Saccharomyces cerevisiae S288C: one gene and its partners. Changing the gene in region 1 together with any one later gene gives a genetic interaction. Each region holds a gene or a part of one and is shown on either strand. Other genes may lie near its edges.

Region 1 (9,356 bases):
CGCGTATTTTGAAAGCTCGCCTAGAATTCATGAGGGAGAACTATCGCATCAGAGAAAACGACTTCTTATCTTTCGATGCGATGAGACATGCAGCTCAATGTCTGGGGAGAGTACTGAGAGGGAAGGACGACTATGGTGTAATGGTACTAGCAGACCGTAGGTTTTCAAGAAAAAGAAGCCAGTTACCAAAATGGATTGCTCAAGGTTTGTCTGACGCCGATTTGAACCTTTCGACTGACATGGCCATATCCAATACCAAACAATTCTTGAGAACAATGGCACAACCCACAGACCCTAAAGACCAAGAGGGTGTATCTGTTTGGAGTTATGAAGATTTAATAAAGCACCAGAATAGCAGAAAAGATCAAGGTGGATTTATTGAAAACGAAAACAAAGAAGGAGAACAGGATGAAGATGAAGATGAAGATATAGAAATGCAGTGATGCAATGATACGCTTTTGCTATAAACTGTATATATCACAATTAGATTAAATAGCCGCAAGAGAATGTTATATATTGAAATCCATTCGATTATCCAGGACTAAACAATGATTTTATTTCACATTTATTTCAAAGGACAACTCTTTATCTGCGTCAAGATATGAATCACAGACACACCAAATTGTTAAGTTATGTTTACCAGATGTCGGAGTGTCAAATTCCAATTCATATTGCTGAGTCTCTTTATTTAAAGTAACTTTCTTGATCGCATAAAGCTCTTTTTTAGATACTTCACCTAAAACCAACCACCAACTTTCTAGCTTATCAAACGGATACTTTTCAGATGTTACTTGTAAGTTCTCAGGTTCAACATCTCTTGTCAATTGAATGGTAATTTTCTGTTTTACACCTGAAATTAACGAATCAGAATTATTCAACGAATAAGTAAGTTCAACGTTGGGGTAATTGTTAACAAACGCGGCGACCTGCGCAAGCTGTGAATCAGTAAGCGTTAAAATTTCATCCCTCTCTTCATCCTCAAGGGCCATTATATCATAGACCGTCTCGACGTTAATTTCTTTACATTTTTCCAAAATTTTGTTGTTGAAGTGTGGAATCTGTCTCAACGGATTATCAACGTCCCATACACCCTGAATCAACATCTGCGCCAAATCCATGGCGGTAGTAGCATTCAAATACCCGTTTGCTGAAAGGATATCAACCACTACGTTAATTAGTGGAACAACCTTTTCTAGAATGTCTTTTAAATCATTTTGAAAGTCGACAGGTAATTCAAGACGTGAAAAATATGCTTGTAACAATAAGAAAACTTTAAAGCTCACCGAACCAGAAGAGGTGTGTTCAGGGAATCTCAATGGTAGTCTTTTACTTAATTTGACAAGTAATGCTCTGTCTCCTTTTCTGAGTGGAACACTTTCGAATTCTACTGCTGTTGAAAGAACATACAGCATGTTTTTGAGCGTTGACGTATTCGATAAAGAAGAAACGAATGACTGAATAGTAAAAAATGATACGCCATAGTGAGAAGCAATTAGCCCGTTGCTCAAGGTAGAAATGATTTCAGTTGCTTCATCATCTCCTCCATTAACTTCTGCGGTTACTTCAGCTTCTGTATCGTCAATTTCAATGAAGGATGATTCAACTAAGTCATTCAAACAAGTTTCAACTAAATTACTCAAAAAAACTGAAATTCCATGTGGAGACGTATCCCTTACGCCATAATAGCTTGGATTCACATGGATACGACGATAGAAATACGAATATGTAAACCAGTCAACACAATCTTGTTTGCTTTGTATAATAGAATTTGCTATCTCGTTGTTCAGAGTATCATGAATAATATACTGTAGGTAACTCTCAGTAGGCAAAGGCTCAATTAAGAATTTTTTGTAGTAGGCCTTCATGTTGTGACTTGTCAAAATTAAAACCTTGCCTGCCATTGAATCGTTACCACTAGCTAGTCCCACCATTTCTAGAAGTTCATTTATGGTATATGGCATATATTTATGCTCTGCACCATCATAAAGGTTGGTTCCTAAAATAATCACTTCATCAGTTTTACAAGCGAATGCAGAACAATCCTTAGAAATGAGTAAAACCGATACCGCACCATATTCGTATAACCTTTTCACAATTCTTTCATCATTTGATGCCATCCCCTTATACAAAATACCAACACCGTGTTTTAAAGGTGCTCTTAGATGACCATCTGTTAACTTTTCAATGTATGGTACAATTTGCTCTTCTTCAACGTTCAACATATCCCATTCAATTGCTTTTGAAAACTTCATAAATGCAGACGCAACTTCCATACAATCCTTTCTAGATGGTAAGAACACCGAACTGGAATTACGATTTCCCGCTGCAGCAGCAGATGCTTCAAATGCCATTTGAAGCATCGAAAAATTGAATGATATGTGCTCAACATCTTTAAATGACTGAATATTAATTTCAAGAGGCTCAATTCTTTCGCTTGGAGAAAAGTTGTAGATGTTTGACTTCGTCATACCAGCCCATTCACCAAAATCACGAGCATTTGCCAAACAGTTCGAAAGGCAAACAAATCGAATTTTCTTTTCAAGTTGGGTTGCTATAAATATCATTCTAGAAATTAGCGTTTCATACACAGCACCGTAAACACCTTGGCTAATCTCATGAGCGTCATCATATATCATTAATTCTAAACTTTGGATGTTCTTCCTTTGTCTCCAACGACGTGACAAAAGCTCAAATTGCACGGGGGTAGCCAAGAGAACATGGCTTTTTGCTAATAATTTTAAATTTAGTGAAGGATCATTTCCTAGCTTATTTATTATCTTACCACCAGCAAGATGAGAGAACCTTTTATTCCAATCAGATAGCAAAAAATCAATTTTTTCCCCAGACGGATTGATATAAACCGCTCTTCCTTTATTCTGTCTCCAATGATTTAACAGTGCTAATTCAGCCATAGCTGTTTTACCTGTGCCCTTTCCTGAACCTACAAAGACCGAGTCATTCGAATTGTAGAGAGACTCGAAGACCTGGCTCTGAATCTTGTTGAAAGTTTTAAATTCAAATACTTCGGAAAAATCATCATTGCCAAGCTCTGATGTTGAAATACTAATATTCTCCAGAAGGGGAGTAGGAGGAGGAAATTTTTTCGGAAGTTTAAATCCATTGAAGGAAACTGGAATCTCGAATTCACTGTGCCACCAATTTTCTGATATCAAAGTAAGGAAGAAATTAGGTGGTAAGTTATTTTGATTGTGCTGCTTTAACTCATAAGTAAAGGATAAGGTAAATTCATGACCAACTATATCTGGAGTGATGAATAGTACGTCATAATAAAGTATTGAATCACCATCAGTGTCTTCTAGCATGAGCAAAAAAGGTTCAAGGGAACCGTGTACATTCATATCCCATATCCAGTCGGCTATTATTTCAATGTTGAACCTCATAACGCTACGGGTAATTGGCTGAGCGTTGCATGTTACGGACATTTTGGGAAATCTTTTCAATAAATCGTAAACCTGTTTTCCATATTTTTCAGATCTGATTGCACGACCAACTTCGGCAGGTGTTTCTAGCTGTAGATAATCTCCCCACGGTACTGTAGAGGCTTCCAGCCTTTTAATCACTTCGACAGGGCATGTTTTAAACTGTCTTAAAGGACAGTTTGTTGGCCACATTTTAGTTGTGGCAGATTTGCAAAGATTTAACAACATCCGTGTGGGATGTCCCCATCCTCTCTTCAAGCATATTTCAAACATAGCACGCAATAACCTACCAGCATTTTGGTGAATAAACACTATATCAGAATTAAGTGCAAAACCTTCGAACTTTAGCTGGGAAAAATAAGACTGCAGTAGTACATTCACTTTTGCTAAAGGATCATCAATATCTTCTCTGATAGGAATGGGTGCTTTCTCTAGAAGTTGTTTTAGTTCTCTTTTCTCTTCATATCTCACCGATACGTACTTAAACTCTTCCGACATTGAGAATATTCTAAAAAGATCAATCTGAGTTGTATGTTCATCTAACTCTCTATTGTAAACATCCATGGAAGCATGATTTATGTAAAATGACGACGCTATATTTCCTAGATCGGTCGCCTCAATTACATCATTTTCAGCATCATATAACACCAACTCTTGTTCTTTTAAAATGCATAGGGCCGAATGGACTAAGCTTTCTCTAAACTTTTTCAATTGCCCATCACTTGAAATATCAGGTACTTTGTAAAGCATAGGGGAAGCTAACATTCTGACATATAGGTAAGTATACGCCAACCAATTCACAGCATCATTCCTGCACTTAATGTTACCCGCGACAACTTCTGCATTTAAGTTGTCAACTAATTTTGAAACAAATTGCGATTCTATTGGTAATTGTTGATTTAAAACCGAGAGATAATATTGAACATTCGATTGGTCTGTTATTATAATACCCTCGCCAAATGTGTCATATCTCGGTCTGCCTGCTCTACCTAACATTTGAAGTACATCTTGTGGAGAAAGTTGTTCCCAGGACCCCTTTTCAGGTGAATAGACATCTGTTCCTTTTATAATCACTGTATGAGCAGGTAGATTAACACCCCATGCTAACGTCGCAGTGCATACCAATACTTGCAACAACCCGTCTGCAAATAAATCTTCAGATAAGGATCTGTCACTTCTGGTCAGCCCTGCGTGATGCGTCCCTATACCGCTTTCAATCAACTTTCGTAGACTTGGATCGAGTACGTTGGCTGCTTCTGTCTTTAAAATCTGCTTCGATCCTGCATCATTTTTGGTTAATTTATGAGTAATGTTCTCTTCAGCAAATTTATTTTTCAACCATGTTGCTGTTCGTGATGTTTCTTTTCGAGAATGAACAAACACGATTATTTGATTACCTTCATTGATGGATTCCAATACCTTTTCATAACAAGCATCATTCATAGCCTTCAGCTTTTTCAAGGAGTTCCGTTCCTTAATGCCACAAAACTGTTGAGATAGAGGACACGGTCTAAATGAGGAGTCAAAATAAAACAATCCTTCCTTCGGAACTCTTAAAAACCTACCGACATCCTCATAATTTGGTAAGGTGGCAGAAAGGCCTATTATTCTGGGGTATTCCTGGCCATATTTGGAAGCCCAAAATGTCCTAGCCACGATGCTTTCCAATACTGGTCCCCTGTCATCATGTAACAAATGTATTTCATCTATAATCAACAAACGAACAAGTTCTACGATGGCCAAATTATTTGAATTTCTAGTAGTTATGTCCCATTTCTCTGGCGTAGACACCAAAACCTGCGTCTCGTCAATTTGCTTTCTACTAAGCCTAGAATCACCAGTCAATTCAGCGACTTTTATACCTAGAAAAGCCAACCTCCTTTGAAATTCTCGGACTTGTTCCTGTACTAAGGCTTTCAAGGGTGCTATATAAACAATTTTAAATGCAGAAAGGTTTAATTTCTTAGTTTTCGGGTTATAATGATGGGATAAGGCTTTCAATACCGTCAATAACGCGATATTCGTCTTACCTGAACCAGTGGGTGCACATATTAGCATGTTTGAATCACCTTCAAATGCTGCGTGAAAAACCTTTGATTGTATAGGGTTTAAGGACGTTGTTTCCGATGAAGGAAACGCCTCCTGACACCAATCTGGTAGAGAAGTAATTTCTTTCAACTCATAATCAATAACAGGTTTGCTAGGAGCTGGAATATGTATTTCGTCATATTGTGGTTTCACCCTTTTGAATGATCCTTCCGGTAGGGATACTTTTGTCACGGTCATTAATTTAGAACTTTCGTCGAATTTAATCTTTTCCAAATCTATGACGGGCGGTATTGCTGGATTACTGAATTTTGTTCTTTTTGCTTCCGAAGACTGTGGCTGGTCGTCACCGGAATCGAGTTCACGCTTTGAGTGTGTAGTTTCTCTAAATTTATACTGTTCCACAAGATCATTCAAACCTTTTGCAACCATTTTCTCTATTAAGTTCGGTATTTCATTCTCTGTGCTCTTCGCCAGTCGTATGCCCCAAAAAATTGTAGATCTATTCTTGAGAATAAATTCAGCCAGTGATATATTCTCGAATTTAAGCAGATCAACCAACTTCTGCTCCAACGCTACTGGATTATGCTCAAGTGTTTCAATATCATTCAAAATTTTTTCTGACAGGTCTTGTATTACAGAGGTATCCTTGTAACCAAGCTCTGACCGAAGTTTTCTCTGCAAAAAAAATTCATCGATTGAGTATATCGGAACGCTCTCGATATTACTTGTTTTACTATCGGAGAGTTTAATTATATCGTTTTCAATGTTTGGCAATGCCCTCTTGTTTTTTTTTTTAGAATTGACTTCAACGTCATTGTAATCATATTCCTCATCATCATCTTCATTATCATTGATTTCTCCCCCAAGAACATTAGCATTGTTGGACATTTCTGTTACTTCTTCTTCATCTGATTTTTCATCATCGGCAAGAATTGCTACTGCTTGTTTATTGCTATTGTCAGGATGTGTTTCATAATCGGTAATGTTTTTCATAAGTTTAACTAATTCGTTAAACTTCAGGGAGTCTATATTGATGCCTAGCTCATGCTGGATCTTTTCCTTTCGCTCTTCAATATTACCATCCTCATTTTCCTCATTTTCTTTCAATTGTCTGATGAATATATCAGCAGTTCCAATAATAAGATCATGGGGTATATCATTGCCTAAAACTTCTGTAACCCACTGCAAAATCTGCTCGTAAGTTTCGACATTTGAGGGATCCTTTGGATAATAATGTAACCTGAAATCGGAGGAAGAATTCAAAATGGTGTTATGCTGCTGAATTTTTTTCAATGATGCGCTCTTTCCAGTTTTTTCAACGGCTACATCATTTTCTTTTAGTCCTTTATTAATGTTATTGCACAGGCCCTGTCCCATATCCTTAGCACTAATTCTACCACTCATGGATTTTGGTTGTGATATTTCCGCATCCCTTTGAGGATTTTGGCTGGTATTCATAAAGCGTTTATCAACTTTCAACACCTTATTGGACATCTCATCATAACGATAAATTTCTCTAATTTTTTTGGCCTTATCCTTCGTTTCATGCTCAGTCATTTTTAATAACGAAGGCTCACGGTAAATCTTCCAAAGCAATTACTTATATTTACCTTCACCTTATTTTACTCAAGATTATCTCTATTAGTGTATTATTCCTTTATAGTAGACATAGCTTTAGTAGCATAAATTTTTAATATTCTCGTAAAGAGCGACAATATTCAATATTAGATCGTCAAAGAAGCAAACACGCATTGATATCTGAGAGATCATCACAATGCGTTAATAGTACTTGATTCAACACCACTAATTATCAAGTTTGTTCCTGTCTGAATGATATGGATAGTACGAATTTGAACAAACGGCCCTTATTACAATATAGTCTCAGTTCATTGGGCTCGCAAATAACAAAATGGAGCTCATCTAGACCGACTTCGCCAGTTCGTAAGGCGAGAAGCACTGAAAATGACTTTCTTTCCAAGCAAGATACGTCTAGTATCCTCCCAAGTATCAACGACGACGGCGGTGAACAGTGGTACGAAAAGTTCAAGCCCAATTGTTTGGAGCAAGTGGCCATACATAAAAGAAAACTTAAAGATGTACAAGAAGCTTTAGATGCCATGTTTTTACCTAACGCCAAGCATAGGATCCTACTACTGTCTGGCCCCAGTGGATGCTCTAAAAGTACGGTCATAAAAGAACTCTCAAAAATCTTAGTTCCTAAATACAGACAAAACAGCAACGGAACGTCCTTTCGAAGCACCCCGAACGAGCATAAAGTGACCGAGTTTAGAGGTGATTGTATAGTCAACGATCTTCCTCAGATGGAAAGCTTTAGTGAGTTCTTAAAAGGCGCACGGTATCTTGTGATGTCCAACCTGTCATTAATACTTATCGAGGACCTTCCCAACGTCTTCCATATAGATACCAGACGTCGATTTCAACAACTTATATTACAGTGGCTATATAGTTCGGAGCCTCTATTACCTCCCCTTGTTATATGTATAACTGAATGTGAAATTCCAGAGAACGATAATAATTATCGCAAATTTGGTATTGATTATACATTTAGTGCAGAAACCATAATGAACAAAGAAATATTGATGCATCCAAGGTTGAAAAGAATTAAGTTTAATCCAATTAACAGCACTTTATTAAAAAAGCACTTGAAATTTATTTGTGTACAGAATATGAAAATGTTGAAGGAGAAAAATAAATGGAATAAAAGACAGGAAGTCATAGATTATATTGCGCAAGAGACTGGTGATATTAGGTCGGCCATTACGACCCTTCAATTTTGGGCGACATCAAGTGGAAGTTTGCCGATTTCAACCCGAGAATCCACCATATCATACTTTCATGCCATTGGGAAGGTGATACATGGTTCCCATAGCACGAATAACGATAACGAAATGATTAATAACCTCTTCGAAAATTCGAACAATTTGTTATCGAAAGAGGATTTCAAATTAGGAATATTAGAGAACTATAACACATTTAATAAAGGCGAATTCAGCATTTCTGATGCATCATCAATTGTGGATTGCCTGAGCGAGTGTGATAATATGAATGGTCTACCAGAATCCAATGAGTATGGTTTACGAGAAGTGCGCAAAACCTTTCGTAACATCAGTAAACAAGGCCATAATCATGGAACGGTTTATTTTCCAAGAGAATGGAAAGTAAGAAAATTACAAAATTCATTTAAAGTTCAAGCTGAAGATTGGTTAAATGTTAGTCTTTATAAGTACAACGCGGTACATTCTTTCAGGAATATAACTCTAGAATTTGGCTACTACGCACCTCTAATTAGAAAGTGTCAGAGTTATAAAAAAAAATACATTCTCTATTATTTGAAGAATCTTCCGAGTGGCTCCTCGGGGCCCAAACAAACCATGGACAAATTTAGTGATATAATGAAAGTTGAGAACGGAATCGACGTTGTGGATCGGATAGGCGGGCCTATCGAAGCACTATCTGTGGAGGATGGACTAGCACCATTGATGGATAATGATAGCAATAATTGTGACCATTTAGAGGATCAAAAAAAGGAAAGGGACAGAAGGCTTCGCATGTTGATTGACCAATATGAAAGAAATGTGATGATGGCTAACGACGATCTTGAAGACGAAGAAACTTCTTTTAATGATGACCCTATTGTCGATAGCGATAGCGATAACAGCAATAATATTGGCAATGAAACATTTGGTAGAAGCGACGAAGACGAGTCTCTATGTGAAATTCTGTCCCAGAGACAGCCGCGTAAAGCGCCAGTTATCAGTGAGTCCCTTTCAGATTCAGATCTGGAAATACTCTAACTTTTTACTCTTTAAATTTGACGAGAAAACCCCAGGAAATATTCCACACAAA
Region 2 (4,177 bases), on another chromosome or scaffold:
GAGCCCATCAGTTATGTAACGAAGGTTACCAGATATATTTTGATGGATTGGTTACTACTGTATGGTCGGCGCCAAACTATTGTTATCGGTGCGGCAATAAAGCATCTATTCTGGAGCTGTATAGTAAAGATCAATTCTACTTCAACGTTTTCGAAGAGGCACCTGAAAATAAACTGTTGAAAGAGAACAGTATGAACGACAATGCCTTAGAAGATAGCATATCTAATCCGGTAGCCAACAGGAAATTGATTGCAGATTATTTCGAAGACGACTCTGCCTCCGCAGATGGCTCCACGGACCCTGAAATGTACATATTTTCAGATGTATACCAAGCCAGATCTGCTTCTAACAGACATGTTGATTACTTCTTGTAGCTTACTAAACAATAGAAAAGCATTATAGAGACAACGCCATCTTATTATTTCTACATATTCTATCTCTCTCGGTTGCAAATGTATGTATTGTGTATTTAGATCAAAAAAAAAAAAACAGCGCATTTTCTACAGGTAATACAGCTCCAAATTTGTCTGATCATGTACCTCATAATCTTCCAGAGAGATATGGTCTTTTAAAACACTTCCACCCTTCTGCAACACAATTTTGTTTGGTTGGGTGCCAATTTGCAAGGACAATACTTTTTTGAAATCACCTACACTATCTTCAGCAAGGCACTTCACTCTGACTTTTTTGCCTAATCGGTCATTCACAACTACCTCAATCATTTTCAGAGTATTTATTTGCAATCTAAGCTTTGCCACCGCTCCTCTTTCTCAATCTTTTCCTCTCCCTCCTCATCTCTCTCAGCCAAAACCGCGAATATATAAAAACAAGCAAGTCTCCCGTAGAACTTTTACACGATGACCTTTCGAGATTTCACAAGGGGGATAAAGGAATGCTGTCCGATACAATTGACACAAAGCAACAACAGCAACAGCTTCATGTCCTGTTCATAGACTCTTATGATTCATTCACCTACAATGTAGTGAGACTAATTGAACAACAAACTGATATCTCACCGGGAGTCAACGCCGTGCACGTGACGACGGTACATAGTGATACGTTCCAATCTATGGATCAGCTATTGCCACTTTTGCCGCTTTTTGATGCTATCGTTGTTGGCCCAGGACCTGGGAATCCCAACAATGGTGCACAAGATATGGGTATAATATCTGAGCTTTTCGAGAATGCCAATGGAAAGTTAGATGAAGTTCCAATATTGGGTATATGTCTTGGGTTCCAAGCAATGTGCTTGGCTCAAGGTGCTGATGTCAGTGAGCTAAATACTATCAAGCATGGGCAAGTGTATGAAATGCATTTAAACGATGCAGCCAGAGCTTGTGGCCTTTTTTCTGGTTATCCCGATACGTTCAAATCTACGAGGTACCATTCATTGCATGTCAATGCCGAAGGCATTGACACCCTTTTGCCCTTATGCACAACCGAAGATGAGAACGGTATTCTTTTGATGAGTGCTCAAACGAAAAATAAGCCATGGTTTGGCGTACAGTACCACCCGGAGTCATGTTGTTCAGAATTGGGGGGGCTGTTAGTCAGTAACTTTCTCAAGTTGAGTTTCATAAATAACGTGAAGACAGGAAGGTGGGAAAAGAAGAAACTTAATGGAGAGTTTTCCGATATCCTATCTCGATTGGATAGGACTATTGATAGAGACCCCATATACAAGGTAAAAGAGAAATATCCGAAGGGCGAGGACACAACTTACGTTAAGCAGTTCGAGGTCTCTGAAGACCCGAAATTGACATTTGAAATTTGCAACATCATACGAGAAGAAAAATTTGTCATGTCATCTTCTGTGATTAGTGAAAATACGGGTGAATGGTCTATCATTGCTTTACCAAACTCCGCATCCCAGGTATTCACTCATTATGGAGCTATGAAAAAGACTACAGTTCATTATTGGCAAGATAGTGAAATTAGTTACACCTTGTTGAAAAAGTGTCTAGATGGTCAAGATTCGGATTTGCCTGGCTCCCTTGAGGTAATACATGAAGATAAATCCCAATTTTGGATCACTTTGGGTAAATTTATGGAGAATAAAATAATCGATAACCACAGAGAAATACCTTTTATTGGAGGTCTTGTTGGCATTTTAGGTTATGAAATAGGTCAGTACATTGCATGCGGCCGTTGCAATGATGATGAGAATTCCCTTGTTCCCGACGCCAAACTAGTTTTTATCAACAATAGTATAGTCATTAATCACAAGCAAGGGAAGCTTTATTGTATTTCTCTGGATAATACATTTCCAGTGGCATTAGAACAATCATTAAGGGACAGTTTTGTTAGAAAGAAGAATATTAAGCAATCCCTGTCCTGGCCCAAGTATCTTCCAGAGGAGATAGACTTCATTATAACTATGCCCGATAAACTTGACTACGCTAAGGCGTTTAAGAAATGTCAGGATTATATGCATAAGGGTGATTCTTATGAAATGTGTCTCACAACGCAAACCAAAGTTGTACCATCTGCGGTGATAGAACCCTGGAGGATTTTCCAGACCTTGGTACAAAGAAACCCGGCTCCATTTTCAAGTTTTTTTGAGTTTAAAGACATTATTCCCCGCCAAGATGAAACGCCTCCAGTTTTGTGCTTCTTAAGTACTTCTCCAGAAAGGTTTTTGAAGTGGGATGCAGACACATGCGAGCTACGTCCCATCAAGGGAACTGTGAAAAAAGGACCGCAAATGAACTTGGCAAAAGCCACACGAATCCTGAAGACACCAAAAGAATTTGGTGAGAACTTAATGATTTTGGACTTAATCAGAAATGACCTTTACGAGTTGGTTCCTGACGTTCGGGTGGAGGAGTTCATGTCCGTGCAAGAATATGCCACCGTTTACCAACTCGTTAGCGTCGTAAAGGCACATGGATTGACCTCTGCCAGTAAGAAGACGAGATATTCAGGCATTGATGTCCTTAAACACTCGCTTCCTCCGGGATCTATGACGGGAGCCCCCAAGAAGATTACTGTGCAATTATTGCAGGACAAGATAGAAAGCAAGCTAAACAAACATGTCAATGGTGGAGCACGTGGTGTTTACAGCGGTGTCACGGGATATTGGTCTGTGAATTCCAACGGAGATTGGTCTGTTAACATTAGATGTATGTATTCCTACAACGGCGGAACCAGCTGGCAACTCGGTGCAGGGGGGGCCATAACAGTCTTAAGCACACTAGATGGCGAACTAGAGGAAATGTACAACAAGTTGGAGAGCAACTTACAAATTTTCATGTAGATATTTGTATATTATTAGATATGTATGCAAACATTTTCTTTAGAATAATATACTATTCTTGTACGATGCAGAATTTTTTTTTTTTTTCGCTTTAGGAAAATGACGTTTTGTGCCGTGGAAAACCCTGGAAAAGGATATTGGAAAAAAGTTAAAGCATGGTCATTTAGGGAAGACTTTCCTTCCAATTTACTTATCAATAGGTTATAATGTATGCTTGACGGAGCAGAATTCTTTCAAACCATAAGATAATAGATATTATAACATTTTAGTACATAAAAGAGGCCCGAGAAAATAGATTTTAACTGGAATAATTTTTTGCAAGATGACAACAACCGTACCTAAAGTGTTTGCATTCCATGAATTTGCAGGAGTAGCTGAGGCAGTTGCCGATCATGTTATTCACGCACAAAACTCTGCCCTTAAGAAGGGCAAAGTCTCAAGGTCCACACAGATGTCCGGAACGAGCCTTAACGGAAATGGTAACACAGAATCCAAAACGATGGAGAGAGTAAATTCTGTAAGGAGTAATGCCTCCAGCCGTGGTGGTAGTGAAGACGGCGCCACTAAGAAATTGAAAAAGGAGAAAGAAAGGCGCTTCAAGATTGCGTTGTCCGGTGGTTCGTTAATCCAAGTGTTGCACGAAGGATTGTTGAAAAGAGACGACGTTCAATGGGGTAAATGGGACATTTACTTTGCTGATGAAAGACTAGTGCCCTTTAGCTCCAGTGAAAGCAATTACGGTCTTGCTAAGAGAAAAATATTCGATTTAATAGATACGGAGAAGTACGGAACTCCGAAAATTTATCACATTGATGAGTCATTGATTAACGACCCTCAAGAGTGTGCAGATAACTATGAGAAAATTCTAATTAAAGGATTTGCCGGTAGAGATTCTGTGAAACTACCGATGTTTGATCTGTT
Region 3 (4,668 bases), on another chromosome or scaffold:
CATTAAGCAAATAACAGCAGACCCATTCGACAAAACTCATGACGGATATTACCGTTCGCGTTTAGAATCTATATGGAATGAATTGGAAGGAGATGTCGTTATAATGGGTGGATATCGAGGTAGTGTGCTAAGGGATGCTACTACTCATAAGCGAATTTGGATCCCATTAAAGGCAGGTTTGAATATGACGAAAGTCGATTTATTGATCGGACCTAATGACGAAGATGAACTTAAAACTCAGAAGGAGATTGTCCCTGATGGAATGCTAACACATATAGGGCCTGTTGATATCTCTAAGAGGTTGATAAAGAGGCTAGACGCAAATCCTAATTTAAATGTTCAGCAGTTTGGCTATGATTGGAGATTATCCTTGGACATATCTGCCAAGCATTTAACGACTAAACTAGAGGAAATTTACAATAAGCAAAAAAATAAGAAGGGAATATACATCATTGCCCATTCAATGGGCGGATTGGTCGCACATAAAGTGTTGCAAGACTGTACTCATTTGATAAGAGGTATTATTTACGTGGGTTCCCCAAGCCAATGTCCAAATATTTTAGGTCCTATTAGGTTTGGAGATGATGTGATGTGGAATAAAACTATTTTCACTAAAGAAACCAACTTTTTTATGAGAAGTAGTTTCTATTTTCTACCGTTAGATGGTAGATGTTTTGTTGACAAAATTACCTTAGAGAGGTATGATTTCGATTTTTTTGATACAGATGTTTGGAAAACCCTTGGCTTGTCACCTCTCGTCAATGAGAAAAGAGAGGAATCAGCTCACGAAAAATCAAAATTATTACCAAGGAAAACGAAATCAGCGCTTTCGCTTAAAGCTACCCTAAACGCAACTACCAAGTTTGTCCTAAATGCACCTGTTGTTAGGAATGTAGCCGGCAATAATAAACAGGTACCAAGGGATGTGCCTTTCGATGAAGTCTTCCATACATCTTATGAAGATAGCTGTGAATATTTAGCGAGAACTTTAAAACGTACAAAGAATTATTTGGATAGCTTAGATTACGACCCGAACAAAGAATATCCTCCATTGGCCATGGTTTACGGTAACAAGGTTCCCACTGTTAGAGGTGCTAAAGTGAACGGTATACAAGATATAAAAGATGGGAATTATGAAGATTTTTACTATGGTCCGGGCGACGGTGTTGTTCACCATAAATGGTTATTGCCTGAACAGAGAGGCTTTCCAGTTGTTTGTAAAATCGCCAGTTCTTCAGGTCATGTTAGCTTAATGACGGATTTGAAATCAATGGCAAAAGCATTCATATCTATCGTCGACAGCGAAAAAGAAGGAAGAAGATCTCGAACACGAACTTCTTCATGAAAGGCTTTTTATTCCTTTGTTTACTATTCATATCTGCATTTTTCTTTTTACCAAAATTCCGCATGTCAAAAAAAATCTGGCAACGCACCGCGAATAAAAATAAATAATATTTTTTTATCTTTAGTTGCCTAAATACTATTTATTTCGTCAATTTTACAACCTCTTTTATATACACCATTCGATTTCCCACGAAGTAAAATAATAATTCTATAAACAGATTTATCTGATATGCTCAATTTCCCCTCCCATTTTCATTATTGTCCTTCTTGCTCTTCCTCGATGTCAAAATTAACCTTCAGCCATAAGCTGCATGCGCTACATTGGGTTAATAATTGATAACCAGAATGACTCCGTTCCATAGCGTCTACATTATCAATGCATTCATCTAACAAACTCTCACTAAAATGAAAACCACCAACAAATTGACAGCGAGGACAATTCATCATAAACTCCAGCTTATCTTCATCAAATGAGAAATCGTCTAAGGAAAATTCATCCAGCCCATCACCACAATTATGAAATCCTTGGCGTTTATAGTTTTCAAGGATCAACCTATCATATTCGCGACGAGTTTTTATATTCGATAGTATTTTATAAGCATCTTGAATCTTATTGATTGTGACGTTGCTAACCGTATCATGTATGCTTTTAGAAAGTTTATCGGGGTGCGTATTTAGTAACCGATTCCTATATGCCTTTTTGATTTCATCTTGTGTTGCATCCGATGGAATTCTTAAAATTTCGTAGTGTGTTAACGAATTCACCAATGACATTTTCGCTAAATTTTCACACCAAAAGAAAGATTAAATTGGAGATAAATACAATACAAAGAGCGTGGTAAATTTCTTAGTTGATTGCGCTTATCTTTTGGCACCGATAGTGGTTTTTACAATGGTAAGACTAGTAACGTCACATCGAAGTCATCGCATCCATTTACAATTTTTCTGAAAATTTCCATCTCCAGTTACCCGCTCATAAATCTTCAAGAAAAGTCAATGATTTCCTTTTCTACCTCTAGCAGCTCCTTTAATCTTTGATTTAGATCGAAAGTCCTGAAAAAGCTACATGTAATATTAATACTTTGTGAAACGTAAACTAATTATATGTTCTATATACGTTATTCTACGGTTCGCATTTTCTTTTTATGGCGCGTCTGTGCATTCCCAATCGGTAGGCTCATAAGCATCAGGATGATCAAGAAATTTCATCTGTTCGTCTGACAGTTCAAAGTTGTAGGCTGCAAGGTTACCTTCTAACCTCTTCACAGTTTTAGTCTTCGGTAGTGGTAAATAACCGTGTTGTAAAGACCAACGAATCAAAACTTGACCTGGATTACGGTCCACCTCTTTGCAAACTTTTAATAAATCTGGATTAGTCATTTTGTAGCCGTGACACAATGGGGCAAAGGCTTCGACGACGAGACCTTTAGATTTACAGTAATCTGCTAATTCTTGTCTCATAATCCAAGGTGATATCTCGATTTGGTTGACCACTGGCTTGTGCTTCAGTTCTGGCCAGTTCAAAAGTTCATCAATGTGCTTTTTCCCATAGTTGGAAACCCCTATAGACTTAACCAATCCTTCATCAACCGCTTCTTGCATGGCGCGCCAAGTTTCCAACCTTAATTTAGAACCTTCCAGTGGCGAATGAATCAAAAGAAGATCGATGTATTGCAAGCCCGAGACTTCATTCAAACATTGCCGAATGGCAGCTTTAGCTCTTTTATATCCGTTTTGCGAATTCCATAATTTAGTAGTGTAGAAGATTTCCTCACGTTTATGGTTCCCTGGATCTTCGTTCAACCATTTAATGATACCATCGCCAACTTCCTTCTCATTACCATAAAGAACAGCAGTATCGAAATGACGGTAGCCGCACTTGACACCTTCATACACAATTTCGGCTGTTTGCGATCTTGGAATATCGTAGGTTCCCAAAGCAATGCTTGGGATTTTGAAGCCGTTTGAAAGTTTGTAAAACTTAGGAACCATGTTGTTGAGGTGAATTTTTTTTCTTCCTTCGGGCTAGGTATGCTAAGTTAATTACTAAAGTAAGATCAGTTGCTTATGCTCTTATATATTGGAGGTTGCGACAAGGGATGAAAGAAAGAGACACCTCCCCTCATATCGACACGACGGAATATGTATGATAACTACTTCATTGTTCTTTTCAGCACATTATTACTATTTACGAAAAAAGGGAGTAGGGAAAAATGGCGCGCTTATGGAGCCTCAAATAAGGACAAAAAAGTCAAGTAATGAATATCAAATTGAAATGAGTATGCTTACATAGATTTATTTGGTTTGTTTTCATTTTGTTTTTGTTTCTTATGTTGCTGCTTTATTTTGTGTAGGTAATAAGGAAGAATAGGGCGATTAATAATTGATCTTCTAGCCTATTTCTATTTTTTCTTTATTTCATTTTGTAGTCCCATTGTTCATCATCTACTTTAATGGCTTTGGCTTTGGTGTGTCATTCTTCTTGAATATACCCAAATTTTCTAAATGCTCCCTTACATATTCATAAACGGTAAAGGTGACAGCCTGACCTGGAGCCACCCTCATCACTCTTGGGGTAATACCCTTGTACAAAGCTCTAAAACCTTCTTCTTTCAGTAGTTGAGCACCAATGGTTATGATTTTCTTCATACCGGACTGTTTTTCCAATGAGATGGACTTATCCTTTTGCAGCCTTGTCTTTATAGTATCCAATGGAGCGTTGGAAAACGGCCCAATAGCACCCGAAATCAAACCTATGCAAGAAGTTTCCCATGAAGGTAGGACATCCATCTGATGGTAATTCTGCAAAAACTCCTTCAGTTTAGAATAAACTGTGAAGTTAGCACCCTGATTAGTTGCTTGCCTTGCCGCAGTTAAGGAAACGCCTCTATATAAGGCAGAAACACCTTCTTCTTTGACAATAGTGTAGGCTGCATGAATGGCGTTGTTATATTTAGGACCAGCATTTGGCTCACTCGGAGTTAAATGCTGAGCTTGTAACCTAATCTTTACAACTTCCATCGGGTTCACGACAAGAACAGCTTCGGTGATACCAGCCCCAACACCAGCAACAAAAGTATTACCGGTAGACACAATTCCTGATTCCTTGTTAACCAATAAGGTTCTATAGAATTCATAAGACGAGAAACGGATTGCCATCTTAGGTATAATACCGATGACCACAGCACCTAGACCTTTATACAGAGCCAAGAAACCTTCTTTTTGATAAATGGTACGCCCAGTTTTAATAAATCCTGGGGGTTTAACATGTTCAATACCAGCTACCCGTCTGTATATTTGCATTCTCACCTTAATTGTATCTAA
Region 4 (5,960 bases), on another chromosome or scaffold:
GCTGTTCAAAGAGATATGAAACAGTATATTTCAAAACATGCGAACAGAAGCATCCCAGTCGGATATTCTGCTGCTGACAATACTGATTTGAGGTTAGCAACCTTCAAGTACTTGCAGTGTAATTCGTTGGATGGAAACAAAGTCAATGATGATTTGGACATATCTAAATCTGATTTCTTTGGCCTAAATACTTATGAATGGTGCTCTGGCACTTCTAGTTGGGAATCTTCTGGCTATGACAAGTTAAACTCAACTTTCGAAGATGCTGTTATTCCGTTGATATTTTCTGAGTATGGTTGCAACAAAAATACACCAAGAACTTTTGACGAAGTCTCTGAGGGTTTGTATGGTGGTTTAAAGAACGTCTTCTCTGGTGGGTTGGTATACGAATACACTGAAGAAGCTAATAATTACGGTTTGGTTAAGCTTGATGATAGCGGTTCTTTAACTTATAAGGATGATTTTGTTAATTTAGAATCACAATTGAAGAACGTTTCATTGCCAACAACAAAAGAAAGCGAAATATCTTCTGACTCTATCTACAAGTGCGATAACAGTGCCATCACCAATATTTATTCTGGCTTTGGAACGAACAATTTCACTTTGCCTTCTCAACCAGCAGAAATTGCCAATATGATTGAATACGGTGTTAATGGCACCAACACCGGTAAGATATTGACTGATTATGCTGTTCCAACTACTTTTAACTATACAATTAAAAACAATAAAGATGATACCATTTCAGCTACTATTTCATACGACAAAGCTAACTCACTGAACGAACTAGACGTCACAGCCACAACGGTCGCAAAGTCAGCTTCCACATCACAATCATCTTCTCGCTCCTTAACTTCAAGCACCAGTCCATCTTCAAGCACTGGCTCATCTTCAAGCACCGGTTCATCTTCAGCTTCAAGCAGCTCCAAAAGTAAAGGCGTCGGAAATATTGTTAATGTTTCCTTTAGTCAGTCTGGATACCTTGCATTATTTGCAGGTCTGATTTCTGCTCTACTCTGAGCTGCTCATGTATTTTTTTGAAACATCCATGGACTTGTTTTCGTTTTCAACCGTTTTATTTTTTTGTGTTCTTTTATCTTAACATATGTAAAACAATTTATATGTTTTTAAATAGTAAACTTTTCATCAAAAACGCTTAGGTATCACACCCATCATCCTTCACCAGGACAACCATTGGGTGCAAAAAATAAAATCAAAAAATGTCGAGTATGGATTCAAAAACCGCTAAAGATAAAAGAAAGGAGAATCAGCATAATCTTTTGTTGTTACTTCAGAATATTATACTAGGTGTTACAAATTTACTTTGGTAAAAAAAAAAAAAAAAATTGCAAAAAAACTACTGAAAAATAAACAACTGAGCAGAGAACTAAAGTATGCAAAAAAGAGGTTAAACAGAAAAAAAAGTAAAAGGCAAGGGCAAAATAAAGGTATAAAGGTAATCAATGTCTTTTATGATCGCGGACTTCTTCAAACCATCCGGGGATATCGGAACCACTCCCGTACAACTCTCTATCAGGTACCCGAATCTCTTCCATACCCAAGGTATCCTTGAGCCATGGATGGTTAACCAAGCCACCTGCATCAGCTCTTTTCCTTGGGTCTAGCTGTAACATAGGCGACAAAAAATCAGATATTTCCTTGGCTTCGTCCTTAGAAAACTTATATTTTTCAGTTAAAACATCTTCTAAGGGCCAAAATTTCAATTTCGAGATATTTCTTAAAAGCCCTCTTGAATTGAAGAAAGTTCTTGTATATTTGCCGTTCCTCAAAAGGTATGATGGTAATTCTCCCAATAACTCGATGATTTGTGCAATATGGTCATCATCCTTAGTGTAGGAATGACCTTCGTCCGGTTCGAAAAGAAAATCTCCGGTAATCAATTCAAAAATTAGACAAGCAGTAGACCATATATCTGCACCACAACCCCAAGGGGCGCCTAGTAACACCTCTGGTGATCTGTATTCTCTTGTCTGTATAGAATTCGTGTAATGTTCGTCATACCAACAAGCATTACCTAAATCAGCAATCTTGATCTGAATCAAATTTTCTGGGGAGTTGATATCGGTACTGACGTTTGAATTTGAATCCATAGTATTAGAAATATATGGACCATTTGTATCGGAGCTTTGTGATATATTGGAAATATCAAATGTAGATAAAGAGTCTGCCAGCTGCTCTTCATGCAAAGGTGTGTTCATTATGTCCTCGTTATTATTGTTGTTACTGTTGTTATTGTTGTTATTTTTATTTTTACTATTATCATTATTGTTGTTATCATTACTGTCTTCATTTATGAACATCCTGGTCACAGAATGTGGTACTGAATTTAAGAAACTATTGTTGCTATTCTTAATGCCTATGCCATTATTAATACTGTTATTATTGATGGAAGATGGAATGTTCCTATTCCCAGATACGGAGGAAAAGCTATTGTGACTACTACCACAAAAGTGCGCCCTCATTTCAAAGAAATTTGATGAACTAATTGGGGAAGGTAATGGTTGCGACCCTGTGATAATTGTATGACGTCTAGGTCTTCTAAAGCATCTTTTTGACAAGTCCTTCTCTATAGAACGAGATTTGGAATTTGAGCTTGAGCCGCAGGGCATACTTGTTTGGCATTCTGCCCATTTCTCATCACTGCTATCGTTCGCGGTAATATCAGAAGACCGCGAAACGTGCCTCTGCAACCTTTTTGCCTCTCTCTTCTGTTTATCCAGTGCCTCGACCATTTGAACGATACCCTCAACATCTCCAATCTCCATCAACACGTTTTCTGGTTTAATATCTGTGTGTATAATACCACACCGCCTATGCATGTAATCAAGACCAAGCAGTAACTGCTTCGATATTTGCTTGACATAAATCAATGGAATGCCCCTATGTTCATACTTCTTTATCAAAGCCAGTAAGTTCTCGCCGAGGACTTCAAATACCATAACCACATGGACGCCATTGGGGCCCTTATGGTTGAAATGATCTAGCAATTTCAAAATATGATTAGCCCCCATGGAATCCTCCTTTGTATTATCGGCGTCATTCACTCTTTGCAAAAGCTTAATTTCGTCTTCAGCAGCTTCTGTGTAAACTTTGTCGCCCCGAACAATCTTCATAGCAACGTGAGTGTTGTTTACCATATCCTTTGCCAACCAAACGGTGGAGAAGTGGCCCCATCCCAGCTTTCTTACTAAAATGTAGCGTGCATCCTTATAGGGCTCGCCCTTAAAGGCAGGGTGGTACCCACCCGGCCTGTAATCTTTCAAAGACTCTTCGTTCCTTTCGTCACATGATGAGATAGAGGAATCTGAATCCAAATCTGAGTCTGATTGTGGCCCCGAATCCGATTGGATGGACACATGCGATTCAACGCCGCTATCTGGTTTTTTCTTAATGCTCTTTGTAGAAAAATCTTCTGTCTTCGAGGAAGTATCCTCTTGTACAGTACCGTTGGCACTAGAGGATGACTTGGAAGTCTGCAAGGCCAAAGACAGTTTAGACTTCGTTGGAGCAGGCGCCTTCTTCATCATGTTATAATCCCTTTGAAAGAAATTCTTCTTCGCTTCCTGCGAGCTTGTTGCTTCCTCACATGAAATGCTCGCATCCGTACTAGTGTCAGCCAAATGAGCGCTTTTAGTCACAAACCCAGGATAGTTAATTGATGAACCCATTAATGTCTACACTTCTTCTTTACTCTATCTCTTCAACCTCAAAAGGGGGTGTCTATTTATACCAAAAAACACAATTATTTCTCAGCGCCAGGTGATCTAACAATTTTGAATCAGTTTTCCAATCTCTATTAACTTGCCAGCTACAAATAGATCCCTCTATATCCTGTGACTTCTCTATAGCTCTTTCATAGCCCACACTCATTGTTTATTCTCTTTCAAATAAATAACGACGATAAGATTTAGAAAAATAGAAAAAGAAATTAGAAAAAAATCCGGAAATAATATAGGCTCGTCCGTAACGATTTAATATCACGTGGATAGTGATATAATTATGAGGTGTTGCCAAATAGAACCTTTAATTATGTTTAACAGCGAAAAAACAAGGTTGTCAAGTAGCCGACTCATTTCTTCGTGACGTTGGTGACAGGAATATGCTTTCATCCTCTCGCTCCCCTACAATGGCTTCGGTTCCCGACATTTTGACTCTTTTCATGCCGTCATTTCTTTTTCTTGCTTGCAGGAAATGAAAATTTTTTTTTTCTTTGGCGATGAGCATCGAGAAAAAATATTTCTTTTTTTTATCATTTTTTCAGTTTCATTTTCATTTCACAGTTATAAAACATTAGTTGAGTTATAGTTTCGGTCACGGTAGTCTCTAATTAGCTTGCGTTCGTTGTAGTTTAACTTCCCTGGGTCATTTGGTAGGTAATATCTATATTCTAAAATAAACTAACGACATCAATATTCACAATGGCTGCCGGTGAACAAGTTTCTAACATGTTTGACACTATCTTAGTGTTAGACTTTGGTTCTCAATACTCTCATTTGATTACCAGAAGATTAAGAGAGTTTAACATCTATGCTGAGATGTTGCCATGCACTCAGAAGATCTCTGAGTTGGGCTGGACTCCAAAGGGTGTCATTCTTTCTGGTGGTCCATATTCCGTATACGCTGAAGACGCTCCACACGTAGACCATGCTATCTTTGATTTGAACGTTCCAATCCTGGGTATCTGTTACGGTATGCAAGAATTGGCTTGGATTAATGGTAAACAAGTTGGTCGTGGTGACAAGAGAGAGTACGGTCCTGCCACTTTGAAGGTGATTGACGATTCCAACTCTCTATTCAAAGGTATGAACGACTCTACTGTCTGGATGTCTCACGGTGATAAATTGCACGGCTTGCCAACTGGTTACAAGACCATTGCCACCTCCGATAACTCCCCATACTGTGGTATTGTCCACGAAACTAAGCCAATCTATGGTATTCAATTCCACCCAGAAGTTACACATTCTACCCAAGGTAAGACTCTTTTGAAAAACTTCGCCGTTGATTTGTGTCACGCTAAGCAAAACTGGACTATGGAAAACTTTATCGACACTGAAATAAACAGAATCAGAAAACTGGTCGGTCCAACTGCTGAAGTCATTGGTGCTGTTTCCGGTGGTGTTGATTCTACTGTTGCATCCAAATTGATGACAGAAGCCATCGGTGATAGATTCCATGCCATCTTGGTCGATAACGGTGTTTTGAGATTAAATGAAGCTGCTAACGTTAAAAAGACCCTTGTCGAAGGTTTAGGTATCAACTTGATGGTTGTCGATGCTTCCGAAGAATTTTTAAGTAAATTGAAGGGTGTCACTGACCCAGAAAAGAAGAGAAAGATTATTGGTAACACATTTATCCACGTCTTTGAAAGAGAAGCTGAAAAAATTAAGCCAAAAGATGGTAAGGAGATTCAATTCCTGTTACAAGGTACTCTTTATCCAGATGTCATCGAATCCATTTCTTTCAAAGGTCCTTCTCAAACCATTAAAACTCATCACAACGTCGGTGGTTTACTAGAGAACATGAAATTAAAGCTAATTGAACCATTGAGAGAACTGTTCAAAGACGAAGTCAGGCATCTAGGTGAATTATTAGGAATCCCTCATGATCTAGTCTGGAGACACCCTTTCCCTGGTCCAGGTATTGCTATTCGTGTTCTAGGTGAAGTTACTAAGGAACAAGTCGAAATAGCAAGAAAAGCTGACAACATTTACATTGAAGAAATCAAGAAGGCCGGCTTATACAACCAAATTTCCCAAGCCTTTGCCTGTTTGTTGCCCGTTAAATCCGTTGGTGTTATGGGTGACCAAAGAACCTATGATCAAGTTATTGCTTTGAGGGCCATTGAAACTACTGATTTCATGACTGCTGACTGGTTCCCATTCGAACACAGTTTCTTGAAGAAAGTCGCCTCAAGAATTGTCAATGAAGTCGATGGGGTTGCT

Evidence for each region.
Region 2: mutations in BRR2 (region 1) and HUB1 impair growth when combined (synthetic growth defect), as found in Saccharomyces cerevisiae (2 studies listed by BioGRID).
Region 3: mutations in BRR2 (region 1) and JJJ3 impair growth when combined (synthetic growth defect), as found in Saccharomyces cerevisiae (2 studies listed by BioGRID, with this or other methods).
Region 4: mutations in BRR2 (region 1) and SKY1 impair growth when combined (synthetic growth defect), as found in Saccharomyces cerevisiae (2 studies listed by BioGRID, with this or other methods).

The regions. Positions count from the first base shown.
Region 1 is NC_001137.3:528,976-538,331, forward strand, and holds BRR2 (ATP-dependent RNA helicase BRR2), read right to left. Parts: upstream 7,047-9,356; coding exon 555-7,046; downstream 1-554. Other genes in the region: TFIIH/NER complex ATP-dependent 5'-3' DNA helicase subunit RAD3, read left to right, coding at 1-443; RAD24 (Rad24p), read left to right, coding at 7,325-9,304.
Region 2 is NC_001146.8:686,743-690,919, forward strand, and holds HUB1 (ubiquitin-like protein HUB1), read right to left. Parts: upstream 723-4,177; coding exon 501-722; downstream 1-500. Other genes in the region: putative serine/threonine-protein kinase PPG1, read left to right, coding at 1-374; ABZ1 (4-amino-4-deoxychorismate synthase), read left to right, coding at 893-3,256; SOL1 (Sol1p), read left to right, coding at 3,579-4,177. UniProt on the Saccharomyces cerevisiae protein: Forms conjugate with SPH1 and HBT1. Involved in morphogenesis.
Region 3 is NC_001142.9:609,863-614,530, reverse strand, and holds JJJ3 (Jjj3p), read right to left. Parts: upstream 2,119-4,668; coding exon 1,600-2,118; downstream 1-1,599. Other genes in the region: YJR098C (uncharacterized protein), read left to right, coding at 1-1,345; YJR096W (aldo-keto reductase superfamily protein), read right to left, coding at 2,488-3,336; SFC1 (Sfc1p), read right to left, coding at 3,790-4,668.
Region 4 is NC_001145.3:697,354-703,313, forward strand, and holds SKY1 (serine/threonine protein kinase SKY1), read right to left. Parts: upstream 3,687-5,960; coding exon 1,458-3,686; downstream 1-1,457. Other genes in the region: GAS3 (putative 1,3-beta-glucanosyltransferase), read left to right, coding at 1-1,017; GUA1 (GMP synthase (glutamine-hydrolyzing)), read left to right, coding at 4,437-5,960. UniProt on the Saccharomyces cerevisiae protein: Constitutively active kinase, specifically and sequentially phosphorylates serine/arginine (SR)-type shuttling mRNA binding proteins in their RS dipeptide repeats.